Linked DNA regions of Arabidopsis thaliana. The protein of the gene in region 3 interacts with the protein of the main gene of each other region in a biochemical or structural test. Each region holds a gene or a part of one and is shown on either strand. Other genes may lie near its edges.

Evidence for each region. The genes of interacting proteins can lie anywhere in the genome.
Region 1: the proteins of TOC159 (region 3) and GGR form a complex in vitro, tested with the Arabidopsis thaliana proteins (one study listed by BioGRID).
Region 2: of the proteins of TOC159 (region 3) and OST1, one has a biochemical effect on the other in vitro, tested with the Arabidopsis thaliana proteins (one study listed by BioGRID).

The regions. Positions count from the first base shown.
Region 1 is NC_003075.7:17,992,066-17,997,806, reverse strand, and holds GGR (geranylgeranyl reductase), read right to left. Parts: upstream 3,069-5,741; 5' UTR 2,959-3,068; coding exon 2,605-2,958; intron 2,460-2,604; coding exon 1,833-2,459; 3' UTR 1,585-1,832; downstream 1-1,584. Other genes in the region: IYO (RPAP1-like, carboxy-terminal protein), read right to left, coding at 3,258-3,437, 3,519-3,728, 3,819-5,741. UniProt on the Arabidopsis thaliana protein: Heterodimeric geranyl(geranyl)-diphosphate (GPP) synthase small subunit. The small subunit alone is inactive in vitro while the large subunit GGPPS1 catalyzes mainly the production of geranygeranyl-diphosphate in vitro.
Region 2 is NC_003075.7:16,269,075-16,276,409, reverse strand, and holds OST1 (Protein kinase superfamily protein), read right to left. Parts: upstream 4,666-7,335; 5' UTR 4,047-4,665; coding exon 3,876-4,046; intron 3,565-3,875; coding exon 3,490-3,564; intron 3,395-3,489; coding exon 3,293-3,394; intron 3,209-3,292; coding exon 3,155-3,208; intron 3,071-3,154; coding exon 2,978-3,070; intron 2,909-2,977; coding exon 2,816-2,908; intron 2,561-2,815; coding exon 2,456-2,560; intron 2,351-2,455; coding exon 2,252-2,350; intron 2,140-2,251; coding exon 1,941-2,139; coding exon of another isoform or gene 1,894-1,940; exon of another isoform or gene 1,851-1,893; coding exon 1,753-1,850; 3' UTR 1,585-1,752; downstream 1-1,584. Other genes in the region: AT4G33945 (ARM repeat superfamily protein), read right to left, coding at 5,896-6,019, 6,114-6,292, 6,511-6,618, 6,871-6,993, 7,080-7,208.
Region 3 is NC_003075.7:1,102,773-1,112,715, reverse strand, and holds TOC159 (translocon at the outer envelope membrane of chloroplasts 159), read right to left. Parts: upstream 8,151-9,943; 5' UTR 7,951-8,150; coding exon 7,887-7,950; intron 7,804-7,886; coding exon 3,356-7,803; 3' UTR 3,017-3,355; exon of another isoform or gene 2,950-3,016; 3' UTR 2,913-2,949; exon of another isoform or gene 2,741-2,912; 3' UTR 2,579-2,740; intron 2,436-2,578; 3' UTR 2,351-2,435; exon of another isoform or gene 2,051-2,350; 3' UTR 2,044-2,050; coding exon of another isoform or gene 1,604-2,043; intron 1,531-1,603; 3' UTR 1,493-1,530; coding exon of another isoform or gene 1,444-1,492; 3' UTR 1,335-1,443; coding exon of another isoform or gene 1,185-1,334; 3' UTR 932-1,184; downstream 1-931. Other genes in the region: AT4G02530 (chloroplast thylakoid lumen protein), read left to right, coding at 90-162, 272-381; GSTF2 (glutathione S-transferase PHI 2), read left to right, coding at 1,185-1,334, 1,444-1,492, 1,604-2,043; XT2 (UDP-xylosyltransferase 2), read right to left, coding at 9,371-9,745. UniProt on the Arabidopsis thaliana protein: GTPase involved in protein precursor import into chloroplasts. Seems to recognize chloroplast-destined precursor proteins and regulate their presentation to the translocation channel through GTP hydrolysis. Required for chloroplast biogenesis.

The sequences.
Region 1 (5,741 bases), about 17 Mb from region 3:
TGGGACGGCCAGGTAAGCGGCGAGTTGTCGCCGTTAAAGTTTGCTGCAATCCATCCATCGACACTCCCATTATATTTATTTCTCCCTTCTTTCTCACATCGGTCATTTCTTCACATCACTAATGCCACGTAAAAACAAAACACTAATTTCGTAAATCAGTATTTCAATACATCCTAGTTTATTTACATCAACAATTAACAAGTACTGGTCTATAGTATGGTTGCGTGCCATGTTTATTTATATGTATCATATTCATATCATGAAGCAATATACTATGTTATTACATGTGTTTATTAATTTATTTATTCCCCGTTCCAAGTACCAAGATATATTAAAGATTCAACCACTAAACGCAATGTCAGATGATCACTTTGATAATATTATCACCAAATAATACCCATATTTTAACAAGGTTTTATTATTGACATGATAAACCCTAATGACCCAATGACACACACACCGTCGGTCAAGGATCATGCTAACGGATACGGCCAATGTTAGAGAAACACTTAAATAAGTTTTTTGTTTGTTATAAATTATCTTGCATGAGCCAGACTTAATTATATATGTAGTTTACTAATTAGTATGATTACACGATCCATTGATTGATTATGAAAATTTAAACAAATGTGTAAAAGAGTTTAACAGATTCATTGAATCGGGACATCAATTCCCGATGGTGTCCATTGTCCCGATATATAGTTGTAAGTCTACACGTTAATTCATTGAATCGGGACATCAATTTCTGATGGTGTCCATATTGTCCCGATAATATAGTTGTAATAAGCCTACACATTTTCAACTGCATTAATTGAATTTCTAAAACATATAAAGGTATCACTTGATGTAATTCAGCTAGCAACTGCTTATTCAACTAAAGCTTTAGATTTAATGAAGCGGTGAACGAAAATAACATGTTAGTTGTCGAAAATATCCGATTGAACACGTACAGAAAATACTTGAAACAACTTATTCGTTCAAAAGAGTAACAAAGATGTGCTCTGCATAATGCATATATTAGTCCCACTTAAAACAATGATATAATTCACTTATTCAGCATGTTGATATAAAGAATGGGAATATGGGATTAGCTAGTTTATACAAACATTAGGTAGATAAGTTCAGAAATAATATCATGATGAAAAAGTAAGCAACCCAAATATGGATTGGCACAAATATAATTCATTTAGTCCAATAAACATGTTGTGTACGCAAACTCGGATTATTCAATCCTCGTATGATAGCCAAATTAAGTGTGATTATAATCCGAAATCCGAATGAAAGAGACTGAAGATATTTATTTCTTGTTTGAAAGAAAATATTAAACGTGGATATATGTATATAGTATAGCAAATGATGTAGATATATTGGATAAGATGGCCAACGATTAATAGTGGAAAGAGTTGTTAAAAGCATAGACTTGGCTTAGGTCTTCATTTAGAACTATACTAATTGTCGCATTCGCAATTATCTTGGAGGAAATGTACTCGCATGTTGTGAAACGTCTTTTTTTTTTTGGGGGGGGGGGGGGTGATAAAACACTTATTCAAACACTAAACAATTCAACTAGTCTAAAAGTTGGGAATTTTGGTCAAAATAAATAAATAAATACATACATAGTAGATTGCTATAAATTTGGTTAAAAGTACATGTAGTAACTAAATGATTTTGACATGGCCGACACAAAAAAAAAACAATGATAATGACAGGTGGTAGCGAAGATGAATGGTCAAGCGAAGAAGCTCTGGGCTAAAAATGAACGATACACAGTCCATTACAGGGCCTAATTTCGTATAGCGAAGGAAGGCCCAAATGTAAAAGAGGGCCCAAAATCAGAGGGGAAGAAGAAAATGTCGATGAGCAGCGTAGTCAACGAAGGTGTAGAGAGGAACAAGTGTGTCTCCTCCTCCATACTTGTTGTCAAACACTTGAAGCTCCTTCTTCGCCTTCTCCTTGAGCTCTTCCGCCATTTCCATCATTCCCTTCTCTGCTCCACCATCATAGCTCTTCTTCTTGTCCTCGGTGATGTCATCGACCACCTGATACAGCATCCCGACGGCTCTCCCGTACCTTCGGAGACTCTGGAGCTCATCCTCAGTGGCACCGCCCAATAGGCCACCGCACACGGCAGAGCATTCACCCATGGCTCCGAATTTCTTCTCCTGAACAAAGGAAAGAGGAAAGGGACCTCCTTCAAGGTCGACGTACTGGCCTGCAGCCATACCAGTGGAGCCGACAGTGCGGGCAATCTCAGTGATGAGTCTGAGGATGGTGGCTCGGGGAACAAGGTCAGGAGGCGTGTGGGAGACAATGTGCTGGAAGGCGAGTGGGAAGAGGGCGTCACCGGCGAGAATGGCCATGCCAGAGCCGTAGACAGTGTGGTTAGATGGCTTTCCTCTGCGCACAGGATCGTCGTCCATACAGGGGAGGTCGTCGTGTATCAACGAAGCCGCGTGCACCTGATTCATTCCATTATTAGATACAACACACACATCTCTCAACAACAACAACAAAGACTTTCTATTTCTTCTTCTTACTCACTCATATCAAACACTAACGGCGAAATTGAGATTACAAGGCGAGAGAGAGTGGAATCTATCTCACCATTTCTAGGGCACAGGCGGTGGGGAAAGCGGCGAGGCGATCGCCACCGAAGAGCTCGCAGGCCGCCACACACATCACAGGAGGGGCACGCTTGGCGCCTTGTGCGAGTACAGAGTATCTCATAGCCTCGTAGATCCCCGCAGGGTGCTTGACCGGTATGGCCTCATCCAGCTTCTGGTTGATCTCGGTGATCAGAGTCGTCCAATACGTCCTCAGATCGAAGTTCAACGACCCCGGGGCAGATGAGGATGAAGATCGGATTGCAGCGGGAGAGAGTTTCATAGGAAGAGTGTGGGGTTTCTCCGGAAGAGAGCAGAAGCTGCTTAATGGGATCGCTGAACCACTAAACAACATCGCCTATGAGGATGATCTATCCTTGTTGTGTTTGAGATAATGATAATTTAGTAAAATTGGGTTCAGCCAAACTCTCTTGATAGGAAGTGCCAATATATGATTGATTTCTAAGACAGACACGTCGCTTTCAAAATGTCAGTCAAGTTTTTTAATTGAACTTTGTCAGAAATTGGAAAAATCCAAAATCTTACAAGAACAGAAGAAGAACATCGATTTTTAATTACACAGCTTTTCATCTGTAAGAGAACCTCAAAACAGAGAAAGAAACACACAGACTTTCTTTCCTCTCATTCTCTCGTTCACCTTCTTCCACAGAGAGCGGCTGATTTCAGCTTCTCCAGTTCCAAGAGGAGGGTGGAGTTCCCTTCGCAACCCTCTTTCAACACCTCCATTCTTTTCTCTGTCTCCGCTGCTATCACTTCTTCTTCCATGGCGTTCGCAGACCCTTTCTTATACCGCAGGAGATCTAACATCATCCCCTGAAACATTATTTCCACGTTTCATTATCATCCTCAGTCCCCAGAATGACATTGAACAAGAGATGAGGGATTTCAAGTTACCTCACGATGCCGCTTTCTTGATAAATCCCTGACAAGAGTCTTGACAATCTTATTCCGCAGGGATACTTTATCCTTGGCTTGGTTGCAAAAGACTAAAGATGAAAAGTGATGCACAACCAGCGTATAGGCTACTGATCCACGCGTCGCAGCTCTGTCCAATGCCCCACAAGTCCATGACTTCAGGTAGGCCTCAAGGACGGCCTCATTTTCCTGCAATATCAATTCACCATTTTATCTTAGTTGGATGCTCAAGATGCCATTATTCACCACTATCAACATTTTATTATTTTTGTAAATTACCTCAACAGGTTCGAGGTAACCATCCGCTTCTCCCAAGCACTTGTCTAGACTCGGCAGAAGCTCGAGAACACGGGCATTGGAGAGCACTGTCCATGCCGAAAGCCGAACAGAGTGTTCCACGCATTGATGCAGGTAAACCGAGACCTGCCGGCCATACACTACATCACCATATGACACCGCAGCATACTGCTCCACCACCATCTCCAGAAAAGTAGAGTAGTTCTCATGAATGTCTGACTTGAACCTCAGAAGCTCAGTGTCACGGTGATTTAGTCTCGCTTCATCAAGAAACTGCCCATAAAGCTCCTGCAGATAATTGTACAAGTTCCTAGTGTTCTTGTCTTCGATGATGTCCATTCCAACAAGCAATACGGTAGACAAAGCGTGAAACTTCCAAACCAACGGTACACTCACAACAGGAGAGGGAAGCGATCCAAAACCAGACGATGACTCAAGTCCTGCAAGAAAGAAAACTCCAGCTTTTGCAACTTCAAGCAACTCTGTGGATTCTGGTGGCCCTGTTGAGGTTTTACCACTGTGGACTGCTGAGATGGCGCTGAGAAACCAGTGTGGAGGTAGGGGCATTCTCTGGTGAGCCCACTCTATGGTCGAGGAGTCTGATTTTTTATCCTGAGTTGAACTATTTGACATTTCACCGTCCTCATGAATAGTCTCCAGACCAACTGTGCCCTTCCTTACCCCACTGACCCCTTCCTCGGCTATCGATCTTCCCTTTTGCTGTAACCATCTATGTCTGAAGTGAGAAGCAAGCATACTGCTCATACGATGATAGTCCCCTTCGCTGCATTCCCATTCAAACGATATGTTTTTTTTGTTTGACTTGATACAGCAGGCCAGGTGTTCTAAAGCATGCGGTCTAAGGACATATTCAAAGGCTCTTTCCACGAGTAAATAATCCCTTGGACCTGCAATCAAACACATAGCTAAAGCGGAGTTTACTTTATCCATAAAGCCAACAGATCCCTGATCATTCTGCGAGTCGCTCAGAGAGATGTTAAGAAAGAGACTCAGAAGACCGGCACCAGCCTGTGCCAACAGAACTCTGGTTGACCAAAACCCACCACCGCTAGCTCCCCAACCAAGTCCAACGCCGGGGGCCAATCCGCCTCGTTTATGTAGCTCAATTGATTGCACGATGGGCCATTCTGATGAAACAGAATCTCTAAAAGAGCACGACACAGATGTTAGCTCAGCCAGAGACTCTGCCAGTATCCCATTTGCAAGCACAGATTCATCTCCAGTGGAAATACTTACCTGATGCGGAGCTTTCATCTTGGATCTAGCAGATTCTATCAGATTTTGGATGGACACGATAGTCCGTGTTAACCCATGAAGACAATTCACAGAAGCTAATGCTAGTTCGTCATCTTGAGATCGTTCTCTTAGAAAACACAAATACTCCATAAAAGAGGAACACCTGGAAGAGTCTTTTCCAAACCTACTTACGTCTGCAACAGAAAAACTAAGAAGCTTGTGCTTGATAATGGCAAGGCCAATCTTTGGAACAAACTCCGGTAGCCATGGTAGAGGTTCTTCCTCTCCCTCCGCAGAGATTTTCTCAAGGACTTTGGAAATTGTACGCATGACACCTGAATACAACCACAACAGAGTAGTAGTTGATACAGAGACACTTTCGATTCCTTTCTCCCACTTGAGTAATTGCGGGGCCAATGTTATCCAACTCAGTGCTGAATCAATCATAGGGCTAACATAGCTCCAGTCCCATGTCCCAGATTCATTCCGTGGAATGTTTTGTGAGTACATATTAGGAAGTGTCTCGGCAAAAGCCTCAAGGACCAGGTAGGCCTCGTTTGACACAGAAGTAAACTCGCTGATGAGATTTTTCTCCCTGAGCTTTTCGAATGATGGACAACTCAACCACAGACACAGAGCTGGGAATAG
Region 2 (7,335 bases), about 15 Mb from region 3:
ATTCGATTTAACATACCAAAATAAAAAGAATGTAACATGAACTGAATTAGGTCTACATTAGCTTGTCGAAAATCGTTTTCGTATGGAAACACTCACCAGCAAGACAAATGGTCGAATCCTCATAATAGAGATCCCTCCCCAGTCCCCACACTATGTCGAATAAGCCAATGTCACACCATAAATAATTAGTCATTTTCAAACTACTCTAGTCAATTATTTTTTTATCAAAAAAAACAAGTTAATAATGTACTTGATTGTTATGAATATCACCATCTGGATGCAGAAACTAACAAATAACAATCAGAATTTACTTGATTAAGTGTCGGAACGGAAATAATGAGCAACTCTGCAATGGCAAAAAAGGCTACCGTTGGACAAGTCTGACGGCAATGAGGAGATCATACTTGATGATTACTTTTATTTTAGTGACAAATCAATCTATCGGAAATTACAATGGATTTATATGATTATTTTGGTACAAGTTTTTATTTCAAATTTTTCTGTAAATCTTTTTCACATTGAGACAACAAAAATTATGCTTTCGCTAAATCCGACACATATTTGTCATAATTTTACCCAAAAAACTAAATTCCGTTGAAATTGTATAAAATTTCGTAGTGAAAGTATAAAAACATAAATAGAAACATAAACCACAACGGTCTTTGGAAATCTTGTCAAAATCGTTCATATCTCCTGTCTATCGGCCAAAGCCATATTGTGTCAGTAATATTTTTCCCAATCCAAAATAGAATTTATTTTAAAAAATACTAATAATGTTATTTATCCACTATGCCTATATCCAGAGTGAATAGGTAAAATAAATGGTACAAAATAGTTTGAAACTAAAAGAAAATAACGAAGATAAGAAGACAATAATGATATCAGTTGCTAAGGCAGACATATCTCATCTATAACTCAAAATCATTCACGTTGTGTTACAGTACAAGAGACACTGTCACATAGGTCGACCAACCATGCATGCTTCCATTTTCTTAATAAAAACGTTGCAAATTGTAACTGCTTGTTTTCTTCTTCCTTTTTTTAAAAAAATTAAAAACATTGAGTATTTTTTAAAGTAGGAATAATATTAATTTCAATGAACAAGAACAACTATCAAGTACTGGTTCATTATCAATTTATTATTCGAAAAATATTTAGAAAAGAAAAAAAACGAAGATGCGTGAATAAGCATCTTTTTTAATTTAAAGCGAATTACCGTACGTATGTCCTTCTGAACATATAACATGCATATTAAATTATTAATGAATGTGTTCCATCTACATTTATGCTGTTTTTGTATTTTTTGTGAAAATGGGAATATCATCTTATTTCCATATAGTTCAAGTCTTCAAGATATGCCCCATCTATTTACTTCAGTTTGATATTATCAAGTACCCACTTTAATCTGTATAGTACTACAGAATATCGATTTCTTTATCTTTTGCATAGCCTATATGTTGTTTAGTTGTCAACTTCTCCAAATTAGTTTAACAATTTTGTTTCTAGTATTATTAGAAAAACAAACAAAAAATACTAGAGAGAGTAGATAAAATACTGATTGATGAAAATGTTTTTTTTTTTTTTTTTCACTTTTGTTTAGAAATTTAGTCTTTTGCATATCAAAGATTCAAAGTGTACTCATTGAGACAAAGTTGGGCCAACTCAATAGCAAGCAAAACATCTTAATCTTATTCTTCAACATTTTTTGTTTGACATTTTTGTAGCAGAAACCATGCAAATAGATATATAGTATCACATTGCGTACACAATCTCTCCGCTACTGTCGATGTCAAGATCATCAAGGTCGCTCTCTAAGTCTTCCTCCATATCGTCATCTATGTCCAAGCTTCCTGTTTATCCATTAATGATAAGTTTTTCAAACATTGAGAAGCATTAAAAAAGACAAGAAATCGAAAAGTTTATGTTTTGTGTTGTCTCACCTGTGAGGTAATGGTTCAGATTCTGAGTGCCTGCAGGAGGAACAGTTGCTTCTGCAATGATCTGCATAATTTCTTCTATGCTTTGGCCCGGTTGATCCGATTCATCAAACTGAGTGGTCATCGTGTTATCGTTCATTAGATCTGCCGGTAGATTCTTTAGAAACCATTCATGGTTCCTTATTTCAGGAATTGATATCCTCTGCCAAGAAACCAACCAAGAGGGCCAAAATGCAAAGTTCTCTTTTCAGTCATACTATAAAGAAAATTCACAAATAAATCAACAAATGCAGCTTTCATGATCCTTCCTTTACCTTTGCAGGGTCAGCAACAAATATTCTGGAGATCAAATGGCGACATTCAGGAGATATGTGAACATAATCCGGAATAGCATACTGAACATTCAGGATTCTCTGAGCAAATATTTTCACAAGAGAACAGATAGTTTAGCTAGCAAGTAATAAAATCCATAATTACATTTTTCAACTATTGAAGCATGAAGAAAGTGAAAGGCTCACATGTATAGTTTTCCTGAAATTCTTTGGTTCCTCGGGATCTTCGAAAGGATATGCTCCAACCAGCATGACATACAGAGTAACCCCACAAGACCAAACATCTGCAACCTGAAAAAAAAGAAGAACATTAGGATGCATTTGACTAATTCAACCAAAACTCAAGAATTATCAGTTTACAAATCAGACTCTTAATAGCTTTCTTCACCAAAATTCTTGAAGAGCCAAGATTGTTTTATTTGTGTGAGCTTTCATCAAGAGAAAGCATGTTTCCCCTATCTATAATCAGAGGATAAAAATACAAAGATTGTTCTTTCTATAAGATATGGTTATCATACTAGTTTGGGAACTATGAAAATGGAGTACCTTTCCATCATATTCTTTCTTTAGTAAAACCTCAGGAGCGATGTAAGCAGGAGTTCCAACAGTTGATTTTGGTTGCGAATGTAACACTGATGACTGAAAAAGAAAACACAAAGCTTAGAGATACTAACTAACTCAGAGTTTCTGAAATGTTTTCAAAGATACCTTAGAATATCCGAAATCACATATCTTTAGACGAGGGGCCGGGCTACCATCTAATAACGTATTCTCGAGCTTTAAGTCTCGGTGACATACTTGCTACAACATAAAATTTAACTTCTTAAGTCAGCTGAATTTCACAGAGGATGAAGCATTGATTTGATAGAGAGCATTTTTCATTACCATAGCATGACAGTAACTAACTCCTGAAATGAGTTGCTGGAAGAAAAACCTCGCCTACATGATAGTAAACGATATATTAGCCTCAGCATTTTGAATCTTCGATTAATCATCAAAGCAAGAAAAAAAAGAGAGAACAACCTCGTCTTCGCTGAAGCGGCCTGCATTGCAGATTCGCTCGAAAAGTTCTCCTCCAGATGCATATTCCATAACAATGGCTAAATGGGTTGGTGTTAATATAACCTGAAGCAATCCTAAGGATTAAATTATAGAATTCCTTTTTTTTCCTGAAAATGTTAATAATAAGAAAACAGCTTAAAAGAGAGTTGAAAACAAACCTCTTTGAATCTAACGATATTGGGATGTCTTAAGGACCTGTGGTTGATTATCTCCCTTTTTACATTTTCATCTATCTGTACAAATACAAAAAGTCCCACCATTAATACCACGTTCCATAACAAAAGAAACACCTAGAGCCTTTAAAACAACACTATACAACATAAGTCATAAAGCAAAGCAGAGCAAATTTGGTCTTCCATAAAAATCAATCAATTTTGTAAATCTATAGGGTTAAACCATTCATAACCATAAAGTAACCAAACACACATCTCTCATTGGATGATGAACACACAAAAATGATTTCTTTTGAATTCAAGAACCTAGTGAATTGAAACATAAAATAAAATTGGACTAAGGAGAAAAAACAAGAAGAAAATAAACTGACCTTCTCACCTCTCTCGATATATTTAACAGCAACAAGCTCATTACTTTGCTTGTCTCTCATCAATCTCGCAACTCCAAAATTACCGGAGCCAATATCCTTGACGAGTTCATACCTATCACTATCGTGCATAATCGGCAAATCCATTGGACCACTCACTGCTGGTCGATCCATTTTCTCCCCCTCTTTCCTCTGTCTCTTTGCGACTTCAATCTCTGTGTCAAGAAGATTTCTTTTTTGGGAGACAATATCTAACGACACCAAGACATCAGAGGAAATGAACAACGGTGTGACGTGGATGAATTTGAGCCTTTAAGATGAGAAAAGGAGTATTGGGTGATCAAGTTATGGTTGTGAGAAAGAGACGTTTTCAGAGACCCGTGAAGTATCTAACCAACAACACAAGTGGGTTTCTTGAGATCCTTTTTGTTCCTTTGATCGCTCTCGATGAAGAAGAAGAAGAAGAAGGAAGGCTCGTGATCTTGAACTCTGTTTCTCTCTCTCTGTCTCTCTCTCTATCAGCTTTCCTTTTCTCTGTCAATATAAAAAGGAAACAGCTTTCTCTGTTCTGTTTAAACCACAGCTTGAAGTAAGCTATACAAAACAGAAAGATGAGAGAGATAGAAGAAGTTTTCGCTTTTTCTGTGAACTGTTGAATTGTGATTTGTCAAAGCATGGGAGATAGTTTGAAATGACGGATTTACCCTTTCTACTTACAACGTTCTGACAAACAATGGGGCCTGTAGTTTTTAGAAATGTTTTTTTTTACCGTGACTAGTATAGAAAATAATATTTTAATTAGTATAAACTTTCTTTTTATTGGCAAAGTATTAGTATAAACTATGTGATTTGTTACTCTTTATTTTTCAGTAAGTTTTATCTCTCCATAATATTATGCATTAATTTTTTCCGATTTATTATATGTCTTATTGTAAATAGTATAGCAAAAAATATGAAAATATTAATTGATTAAATTTATGCCTAGAACAGTTACTAAAAATATCTAAGTTTTCAAAAATATAGCACTAGAATGGTATGAGATTTAAAATAACAGATTTTGAATTGATTTTATATCCCAATTTAATTTAATCAAACACAGTGAAAAATGAAATAGAAATAATTTAAATTAACAATTAGTTTTTCTGTTAGTGGATCTATATATTAATATCGTAATATGTCCCTTACATATGTACATTTTTGGCTACTGGATTAATTTTGCCCCTTAAATATGTCCTGAAACGGAGCTGATGAAACATATACTCGCATTAAACAAGCTTATGGCTAATCATGGGAACCTCCATGTATTAATGACCACTAAAAAGATTTACTTTCTATTTCGGTATATAAAAAGGGTTTCCGCATTTAAAAACGGAAAATAAAAGAAAAACAAGTTACCACAAATGTCGAGATATTGTTGGCTAGCTTGTCAGATCTTCACCTAAAAGCTGAAACCGATAGAGTTGCACTCATCATCACTATAGCCCATCATTTTTACTATCTAAAGTTTTTGTTTATGCGCATCCACATGACGATTTTGCTGCAAACTTTTTTTTTAATCATCTTTTAAAAACATATATCCGTACTTAATATTCCCAATACACTCTTCTAGAGCTCGATCATTCCATGGACGTGAACATTTTGTCTTTGTTTCTCTTCCCTTTAGTCAAACAAACATTTTGTCCTTGTTTCAAACTAAAATCGATTTCTTCTAAATAAAGGAAATTCATTGACTAAACGAATGATTTTAGTGAATGAATGAAAATTTCTCATTGTGAAGCCTCTGTTTCTCTATTTACTTTTTTACTATTTAGAGTACCTTTCACCGAAATTTTCAATCAATTCCTTTCAATTTTACTACATGTTCAAGCATTCGAACAAAAGCAATCGTTGCAAAAAAGACTAGATCGGAATGCCTTCTACCCAAAAGAGAGAACTCAATGCAAACTGTTTATGAAATTTTTGAAAAAAAAAACTGGATTCATTCCGGTTGTTGCGAGTACCAACCAATGGAGAAAGATTGACCTTAGTTATTGTAGTTATCAAGGCCAAGGTCTCTCAGTGCATCAGTTGCAGCGGCTCTGCATGTCTCATTGTTGGCTTTAGCAGTTCTTATCAGCTTCTCGATTCCATTAGCAAGCAGAATAGTTCTGTAGTGTGCATGCAGACAGAACTTGATATTATAAAAGAGTTTGCGATATGTGCATATTGTTGGATGACAAGAATTGGAAACAGAGCAAAAACCTGTTCTCTGCACTTCTGACAGCAATGTTCCGTATCATGTTGCAAGCGTTTCTCTGCATTTGAGCAGCTACTGGGAACCTCTTCATTGCTTGGACCGCTAGATCACCAGCTCCAGCTTCTATAGCCTTGGCTGCGTGGTCTGGTGATCTCAGACAGATTATAGAGATTATCAACATCACCTGAACCAATCAAGTATATCTTGGATCAACCACAAGGATTATGCACTCAGACCCTAATGCTACAAGAAACATTCTTCACACGACATTACGTTCTATCTAGTGGAAAACTGCCAAAGACGTGACCTGTAGTCACAAGTATCTTCTCTAGACAGGAAGATTTAAAATTGCGCATGGGACATAGTGTCATAAGAGGGTTTTCGTTTGGTTTATATACTTACCTCTTGTATGACTAGAGGATCATCAGAGAATCGTAGTGCGAGTGTGATTAGCTTGTCCAGACCTTGCTTCTCAACTATGGTACTCTTGTTAGAGTCACTTCCTGCCAACTAGAGATCAAAATACAAATTTTAGATAAACATTTATCATGCGTGGTTACAATGCTAATCTAAATCAGTAATAGGCTTTGGAAAAGCTTAAAATTTGAGAACATGCATTTATTAGAAGCACATGAACATAAGCTACTCCTTAATATGGTGCGGAAAATACTTGAAAGCCTGAGTTTTAAAGAAGGATTTTGAATAACCAAAGGCAATGAAGACAACAGAGGCAGCCTGCAGGGCATATTAGAAGCTACTCACCTTAGACAACAGGGAACAACATGTCTTAGCAGCAGTTTTGTTGCCTTGCTCACCGCTATCATCAATACACCGAAGAAGTGTATCTATTCCACCGGATTCAGCAATAGATTTACATATTTCATCCTGTTTACAGCAAAACCAGATGAAGAACTTGCAAGAACCTAACCAGATAAATGTTATCACACAGAGATTTCAACTAGGAGACTTACATTGACAGCAATTGCTTTTAACGCAGTACTTGCTGACACCAAACTATCAGAGCCAATCCCTGCCTGTAATGCTTCAGTGAGGGCTGTCGCAATCCCTAATTTGGCAAAAGTTCGTGCATAACCATAAACCTGAAACACATGGAAGCAAAAGTCTAGTGGATTTGAATTCTCAAAGCATGTCCATGAATAAGCACAAAAAACAACGATTATAAATGTTTGCTAAGTGCTATATAGCTGTTTTCCCTTAATTTCATTC
Region 3 (9,943 bases):
GTCTCTCCCTCTCTTTACATAAGGTAGACTTTTTTTTAATGTTTATGTTACTGTTTGTTGAAAAGTCCTTGTTTGTGTTCTTGGAACAGTTGAGTACAAGCCCAGAAGAGAATACAGAGGTGGAAGCATTCAATTCATCATTGGCTTCTCTTATCACATCAGGTCTTGTACTTGTACTTGTACTTAACTTTTTCATTCACAAGAATCAAAATTGTCATTAAAACATTGCAGTGATCTCTTTGAAATGTGGTTTTGATTCCTTTTTTCGCAGTGAACAAGAACGATATAGAGTCATCGAAGCTCGCTTTCGTTTCATCAGCTGGTGCATTTGAGAAATGGACTACTTTGACAGGTCTTTTGGAACAGCTTAAGGGACTGTGATAGGCTGGCTACAAATTCTTTACTCTTTTTTTGTATTTTCCAACAGATTTGTCAAAGAGGGTCTTTTTTTTCTCCAAATAATCCTTTGAATAATCATCATTCACTTTCTTAACTTCTTTGGTTATTATTTACCTTTATACATTTTGTTCATACTTACTATGCATCAATATCAACAAGGTTGATTTTTCCATCGAATTCCACCACACCAAAAGGAACCAAGAAACCATACCAAAACTTCTTTGGTTATTTATCTGAAACTAATTCAAAAAGATCTGATCAGTAAACCTTTGTTCTATTGAATCTCACATTAAGAGAAACCCTTTTAACTTGAGAAGGCATACAGATATAGAGCATCACAAAATCCCCGAAACAAAACCGAACCAGTCATAACCAAGAAGGGGGAAAGCTACTAGATGAAGCTAGTAGGTGGAAGTTTGAGTCATTTGGCCTATTACTACGCACTAGTTATGATCTTTTCTCTGATACATTGAATACTTTATTAAAAACCATTACATAACCAATGTAAAAGCAAATATTTAAACGTTAAACAGTCCAATTCAGCTTTGAAAAATCCTCCCAGAAGAAGAAGACTAGTCAATATTGGTTGCGATGGCCTTGTAGAGGCATTATTATCTGTTAGATAATATTAAACATTAATGAGAAAGTAGAAATGCTTCTGTATAAATACCTTCATTACTTGTGTCTTATTTCATCACCTTCACCTTCAACATCAAACATCACATTTCTTCCTCTTTTCTCTCTTTTTTCTCAGTCTTCAAAGAGTTTCTTAGTAACCCAAATCAATGGCAGGTATCAAAGTTTTCGGACACCCAGCTTCCATTGCCACCAGGAGAGTCCTCATCGCCCTCCACGAGAAAAACCTCGACTTTGAGCTCGTTCATGTCGAACTCAAAGACGGTGAGCACAAGAAGGAGCCTTTCCTCTCCCGCAACGTAAGTATATCTATATATCTATGTGTTGTTGTAAGACAAGAGACCAACTGTTTTCATGTATCTGGCCTGCATCTCAAATGTTTTGTGTTTGAACTTCTTTCCTCTTCAGCCTTTTGGTCAGGTTCCAGCCTTTGAAGATGGAGACCTCAAGCTCTTCGGTATGAACCTTTTCCATGCATCATCTTCAATCTCAACTCTGAGTTGACAAAAGCCATTAGAGAGCAAAATCACTAATAAGAATTGGATTTTTTTATTTTTATTTTGTGTAGAATCAAGAGCGATTACTCAGTACATAGCTCACCGATATGAAAACCAAGGAACCAACCTTCTCCAAACCGACTCCAAGAACATATCTCAGTACGCAATCATGGCCATTGGAATGCAAGTAGAAGATCACCAGTTCGACCCAGTGGCTTCAAAGCTTGCTTTTGAACAAATATTCAAGTCCATCTACGGCTTGACCACAGACGAAGCCGTTGTTGCAGAAGAGGAGGCTAAGTTAGCCAAGGTCCTTGATGTCTACGAGGCTAGGCTCAAGGAGTTCAAGTATTTGGCTGGTGAAACTTTCACTTTGACTGATCTTCACCACATTCCCGCGATTCAATACCTGCTCGGAACTCCCACCAAGAAGCTCTTCACCGAGCGTCCACGTGTCAATGAGTGGGTGGCTGAAATCACCAAGAGGCCAGCTTCCGAGAAGGTTCAGTGAGAAATTTCTAAAAGGAAAATATGGTTTTGCTTCAGTCACAGTAATAATGCTAAGATTAAATAAGCGGCTTTCTCATTGCCCAATTTCTCAGTACTTTCTTTCTGTTGTATCCTCTGTTTTCTTTCAGTTATGTGAGTGTGTGTGTATGCTCTTGAGAGTATCTTTGGCAAAAACTATTTATCTAATCTTCAAGCTATTCTAAAATAAATCAATTAGTTAACTAATGCAAAGATTGCGATGTCTTAACTATGGAGATACTGACTAGTGAGAATAGTATGTAAGGACTTTAGTCTGGTGGAAATCTTACTTTGGAACGTTTCTCCTGGCGAAAGAAGTTGACTTAAGAAGACTTTGAACGTTCTTATCCTTAAAGTTTCCTTGCTTTGTCATGTCTGAAAATGACAAGTAAAATATAGACGTAAGCTTCAAATCAGACAAAACAAAACACATCAGATTTCTGGACCTATTCACCTCTCTATAAATAACAGAAACGGTTAGAGCAGCAAGTTTGTGTTTTTCACCATCAATTTTGTACCTTGACCGCCGTAAACGCAGGGTGAAGAAAGTCCACCTAGTGTTTATCTCCAACTGTTTGCTCGTCTCATTACTCTGATGACTTTGTGGCTACCCAAAGAATTGCGAGTAAAGCCAGCCATATATTTGCAGACTCTGGTCATCCTTTAAGTTAGAGGCTTTGCTACATCAAATATTCACATAAACCATAAAGATTAAGTCCACCAAGAAATATCCTTTATTCGGAGTTTTGTCTGCTAGTATCATCAAGTTTACTTCACCACGATACTCCAATAGTTTCCAGATATTATATAAGAATGAAAATCTATTACAAAGCATTTTTATAAAAAACATACCATTGCCTTCAAGGGACCAAGGAAGAACAGTAAGATCCTGGTGAAGAACACAATGAGATGAGGGTTCTAGTACAAAATCTTATCAACAGTTACAGGCTACGCACCTGCTTTAAAGATTCTTCACCGAGTGATTTGTATCTTCTGCAGAAATTTAGTAACAAATTAGCAAACTCAAACCAAGCAACATCATTAGCATGAGACGTAGACCAAAAGAAGACTGAACTAGATTCCATTATCTGAAGAACAGCAAGAGAAGCTGAGAAGGGCTAATGAAAGTGAAGAATTACTGATACATGATAAATTAAATCCGATGGGAACCTCTCAACAGAACCAAAATACAACTTTGATAAACTTCAACAAAGTTTTTATTAAAGTGGGGGAAAAACATGAACTAAAAACCAGTAATAAAAGAAAAGATCATTCTGCAGCATTCATCAGCATATTTAGTACATGCTGTACTTGTCGTTCGTCGCTTCGGGTCGAATGCTCTTGTAGATGGACATGGCAATTGGAAGAATGGCTGTGAGAGCGATTTGCAACTGATCCGAGCTGCTGGTTCTGACTGTGATCTGTCCGCTCATCTTGTTGTTAAGTCCTGCACGAAGCGCAATCTTTGAGTTCCTTCCAACAGAGACTTGAGATTGGAGATTGGCTCCAAGGGCTAAATCGCCTCTCCACTTTACCAGAGACAGCCCAAAAGAAGATTGGTCCTGTCCAATTGGGAAATCAGCTTCCCTAAGCCTGACCTCGAGGTTCGCACCATAGGCCGAATCTCCCTGTGATCGCATTGTCCCAGTGCTGCCCACAAGCACCAACCTTTTCCCCAGTGCTATTTGGTCCTCGAGTTTGACCCCAGTGGCGATGTTCTCTCCCAAGAATGTCACTGACCCTCCAACAGTTGTCTTGTTCTTCCTCAAATTCTTGAATTTGGTTTCTCCTCTGACCACATATGCCAGCTGCTTGCCTACATTCTGAATATCGAACCCTGCCATGGTGGATCCATTCTCCCCGTGCTTAGCAGACACAGAGGAGTCCAGATGAATGTTGAACTCTTTCTTGTCCTTGGTGACTTGGACAGTAGCTGTGGCAGGGAACCGGCTAGCTAGAGCAAGACTGTGTTCTGCATTGACGCCGTCATATCCACAGTCATGGTCCCAACCATGGGTATCCAACACTGGCCTGGTTAGGAGTTGTGAAGTGGGTTCCAGATATCGGTATCGGTAAGCTGAGTTATCACTATCAAATGAAGGTGGCAAAACCATATCGGGTAATGGAACTGGCACTGCAGCTGGAGCCCCGTTTTCTGGATCATCTTCTTCTCCCGGATAACCAAACTCACTTTCACCCAGCTTCTTCCCGTTTTTCTTCATTTCTTTCATCCTCTTTAATTCCTCTCTCCATTGCTTCTTCTGCAGGAGCTTTACACGGTAATCATACTCCTCGAAATATGCCTTTCTCTGTTCATTTGAGAGCTTTGCAAGTTGGGTTTTTCGAAGAGGCTTAAATGGTGGCAGCTGGTCATACTCATCATCTTCCCCATCTTCCTGCTCAGAATCAGACACATCATCAATTTCGATATCAGAGTCAACACTATCACCACCTTGGTCTCCAGGGAGCTTAGGATGTGCACGGGACTGCAACAGCCAAGACAACAAGTAAGGGAGAGGCGGGGATCTAACTCGGAAACCAAATACTTTACGATGGTCCAATGGTTCTTGAGGCCTCAATAGAGAATTTGTTTCTGACAAAACCTTCAGGGAGTAACACAATAGCAACAGCTGAGATCTCCAAGTTTGGCCATTCGGGAGAACCTTCACTCCCTCCCGGTTCTTCCTACACAAGGGGTGATTCTCAACAAGTGAAACTGGATTCATCAGACTTGGATTCATCAAGCGTAGATCTCCAACAGCCTGTCCTATAGACTGTTGCACAATATGTGAGCACTGCGCTACAAACACATCATAGCTCAATGGGGTGCCAGATGGGCCATCAGGAGGGGCAGAAGCCGCATGGGTCAATGTCACTATAGCGTTTTTCCATATGGATGTACCAAGAGAAGCAGTAATCGTCCTTAGCAAGGGCAAATTGTTCAAGTCCCTGGTCTGGGTGTCAAGACGATCTACATATAGTACAATATCAGGGGGACACTTCTTCATTACCTTCTTTACAGAGGACAACATTTTTGCATTTGTACTTTGATCCATCGCAGCAGACTTCAAACCCGGAGTATCAATAAAGGTAATCTTGACACCATTCACCGTTCCAGAAATTTCTCTAACCGAAGTGGTTGAGAGCCCAAAAGCATCAATGGACGCAATCTGGTTTCCCAAAATGGAATTTATAGTAGCACTTTTTCCCACCCCGGCTTTTCCAAGGACCAGTATGTTTAGGGAGAAGATCAATTCTTCGTTGCCCTCAGCCTCAGACTCCACAGCCTTCTTCTTTGCAGCATCAAGACTGAATAACTGCCCTGCTTGTCTCCCAGCAAGTAGTGCAAGACGGTAAAGAACCTGCGCTGCAATTGAATCTTCTGCCGAATGACCCAACCTTTGCAAAAGCCGCAAAAACTTCACACGGAGGCTTTGCAACTTTTCTAATTTCTGTTTCTCTTCCTCGCTCAAGTTAATCTCAGTCTCATCTGCCATTGTGACATTAGAATTGGAAAAGATGTTGGAACGGTTTGCACGTGGAGCTGCTGCAGGCTTCAAGGGCCTTAACGATGAACTCAAACCAGCAGGTCGATCCATAGAGAAAAGCTTCGTGCCATCCTGAGATGTTATGGTAAAATTGCCACCTTCTGAACTTCCACCACCAGTGGCTGCCTTCAAAAGCGCAGCCAAAGCTGCAGTATCAAACATTTTCTCCTCACCTTCATCCTCTGTGTCTACATCCTCGTCAGAATCGGTGACAATCTGGCCATCAATCCTATCTGACATATTGTTAGAAATGTTTGCTTCATCAGAATGTGCCTCTATACCAGAAGAAGCCTTTTCCAACTCTGCTAAGAACTGTTTTGCAGCTTCAGAACTCCCAAATATCATCTCTTCAGTTTCTTCTTCACTTTCAGACCCATCAACCCTGGTAACACCTTCGCCAGAAGGTTCCTGGTCCACTTCCTTGCCTCCAAAGCTAAACTCACGAGAAGAAACAATGTCTTCGACTGGGAGCTTGTTTTCATCCTCTTCAGCACTGTCCCCTTCGACAACTTTCCGAACCTCAAACTGTGACTCAGCTGCAGGAATTGAATCCTCTTCTGCATCAACTGAACCCACTTTTAAACTTTCAGAAACAGGCAATTCTTCTACTTCCACACCTACTTTTGGTTCGTCTGGCTCTACTTTGGCAGCCTCTGATATTTCCTTAACAGCCAATTCAAAATTTCCATCATATGCAGCAGTCAGGTCATCAGGTTCCTCAATATTTGAGATGGTCTTGTCAACCTCATCATCTTTATCATCTTCCTTAATTACAGCCTCCTTAGCCGCCCCGACAACCACAACCCCTGGCTCTGCAACATTGATATCAGCATCAACAGAGTCCACCACAGAGGAGTCAACCATAGAGTCTCCTTCACTAACCAACTTTCCTCCTCCCTCCTCTGTGGCTTTATCGGATTCAAGTTCAACTTCACCACCTTCACCTTGGCCAATTGGATCAAACTTATTATGCACATCAGGGATGTTGCCATCAGTTTCCAGCACCTCACTCACCTCTACGTCTCCAACAACAACAACCCCTGGCTTTGCCACATCTACATTCACAGCTTCAATAGCAGATGAGTCCACCACAAAGTCTCCTTTGTTGTTTAACTTAACACCTTCTTCTGCATCATCGACTATGCCACCGAGCACACTCTCCTCCTCTTTGGTTCCATTGTCAGCTACTGCACTAGCTGCCTTGATTACTTCAGCATAAGTCATACCCTTCTCCAATCCGTTGGCTTTTTCCACATCCTTTGGTTCACTCCCACTCTCGGCAGCTACAACCTCTGGCTCTACAGCACTGGTATCCACAGATTCTAACTTAGAGGAGTCTGCAATAGAGTCTGATTCGCTAGTAAATTTTTCTTCTACCTCCTCAATGGCCTTGTCAGACACAGGTTCAAATTCACCACTATCATCATCCCCAATTTGATCAAACTTATTAGCCACTTCAAGAGTTTCAGCATCAGCATTAATCTTCAACTCCTCACTTCCCTCTGCGTCTCCTACAACAACCACCCCTGGTTTTGCCACATCAACATGCACTGATTCTACAGGGGACGAGTTCACAATGACGTCTCCTTTATCAGTTAACTCCACACCCTCTTCTTCAATAACATTATCACTTTTATCGTCAACATCAACTTTTCCACCCAACTCACTCTCCCCCTCATCATCTTTTTTTGTTCCAACATCTTCTTCTTCCACATCCTTCACTTTACTCTCACTCTCCCCATCTGTGGAAGCCTGTTTCACATCAACATCAACACTCCCATTTTCAATCTTACTCTCACCATCGTCTTTAATATCCTCCACGTCCTCCTTAACCTTCTTATTCTCCTCCACAACCCCTACACCATCAGAAACAGCCTCCGGCTTCGGAGATAACGATGAAACATCATCTACACCAATTGTCTCACCAGAAACCACCTCAGGCTTCGGAGTAGCCTCAGGAGTAGTAGAATCCTCCTTTAAAGAACCATCCACCTCGTCGGAAACCTTCCCATCACCCACCAAATTCGGCTTCTCCTTCTCGGAGTCAGATAAATCATCAGCTCCAACCTTATCCGAATTACCAGACACAGCCTCCGATGAGGAATCCAACTCCTTGGCACTACTCACAGCACCACCATCCTCCTTATCGGCGGCTGCAGCAGCAGCGGCGGCGACAACAGAAGCATAGGTTTTTCCTGATAACAAAATATCCTTCCGATTAAAACCCTATTCCCAAAAACGCAGATTAAAGAAGATATAAACGAGAAAGAAGAAAAACCTGATTGCCCCGAAGAAGCGTAGAAGGGGTTGGTTGGTTCTGGAGTAACCGACTTTGAGTCCATTTCCGCTTTGCTACTGAGACTCTTTCTCCGCCAAACTTGTGGAGGAAGGAGATAGCGATAGATAGATAGGGTTTAAAGGAATTTACCCTTTTTTGTGTGAAGGTTTTTATGATTGAGAATTTGGCTGCTCTCTCTCTTTTGAAGAAGAGAGAATTGGGAGAGATAAGGTCACTCGGCGAACAAAAAATGACTCTTCGTTTTTCTTCTTTGCCTTGGGATTTTATCTTCTCAGTTTGTGTTTTGAGGATGATGATGAAATTACCGAATTACCCTCGCTTCTATGTTGGTGAAGTTTCCAAGAGGGCTCTCTTTTGTGCTACGCTTTAAACTGTGTCGCTTCATTGGCTCAAGCCAAAATATATAGAGTTTCTTTTTTTATTTGAGGAAGAAGTACAATAATCATTTGTGGTTAAAATTTGAAAAACATTGTATCATTTTAAAAAACAGTAATTTTTTTGTCAAGAATTTTCAATTTTTGTTGAGTAAATTTAGAATATTTTAGTCACTTTTTGGAAAGTATTTACTGTTTAATATTTTGTTTTTATTATGCACAATTCTCCAAATGTTAAAATCTTCCCCAATGGAAAATGTTTTGATGGGCTCACTAAATCTAGGGTTTTTGAACTCATGAGAATTAGGGTTTTGTTATATCTTCTCTTTACTAAAAACCAAAAAAACCACACAACAACAAAATAAAATAAAACATTTAAAATAAAAAACGAGATAACATTTTGAGATTTGGGTTTTATAAAGAAGAAAGAAATCTTTTTTGTATCTTTGTTGATCCTCCCTACCCGAAATTGCTTGGCCACAAACGATTTTCTCACCATTATCTACGAATTATCTTGGATTTTTGTATAACACGGATTCCATATATTAGGCCGTGATTTTAGTTTTCAGATGGGCTTTTATAAGGCCTCCCCCTAATAATAGCCCGTATACATGATTTTATTATCAATTAAAGACATTCAGATTTCAGATACAACAACCCATACTGCAAAAGAATCTGACCACATGCCAAATTTTGTTTTTCGAATTAAACTCCTAAACTACACAAAACTTGTGAATATGATCTCAGAACTATACTAACTCAATGTGATTTTTTCACATTTTGCATACTAAAAGTAAATAATTAGTTGAATGTGAAATCAGGTTAAAAAAAAGTTCTTGAATTAACACAGATTATTGATCCATGAAGCTACAAAATCTCAAGTTCTAATGGATTACAAAGAACAAAAAGGAAGAAAAACAACATTTTGATTTCGTAATAGAACTCTAGACGTAGAGACAAAGTAAAACCAAAGAATTAACTGATGTCTCTGCACAATACTTTATCATCCATCTTAGTACAACAACAAGCAAAGACACAAGACATAAATATAGCGAGAAACATAACACAAATCCTAAACGCAAAACCGATTCAAACTTGATTGGTTTGTACCTTAACCGCCTTAAACGCCGGATGAAGCAACCCGAGCTCGTCTTTCATCTCCAACGGATTGCTAGTCTCGTTCCGCACTCTCTTGACTTTACGACTAGCCAAAGATTTGTGAGTGAAACCATAGATTTGCAGAATCTGGTTATCTCCAAAGTTAAAGGCTCTGTCCATTTGTTTTAGACACCGTTCCACCGGGTAATCACCAAATTTCCCACACGGTTTGCAACCGACAAAGTGAGTCACCAATGGCCATCTGTGATCTCCTAGACCCGGGTGGTAGTTTTCTATCATTTCTTCATATCTGTCCACAAGAATCCCCCAGTAACCGTGAAGATAGTATCCACTTTCTAGGTACACCTATAACAACAATGCAGTGGCTCAAATGAGTAGCTCAACAAAATCCAAACCAAGCAAAGATTTGAGTTTACTTCAATAATAGACCCTTACACAGATGTCAGAAACCACAAGATGCAACTCACATTGTCATTTTTGATGATCAAGAGACATGATAAACCACAAAAAGCAACTCACATTGTTATTTTTGATGTTCAAGAG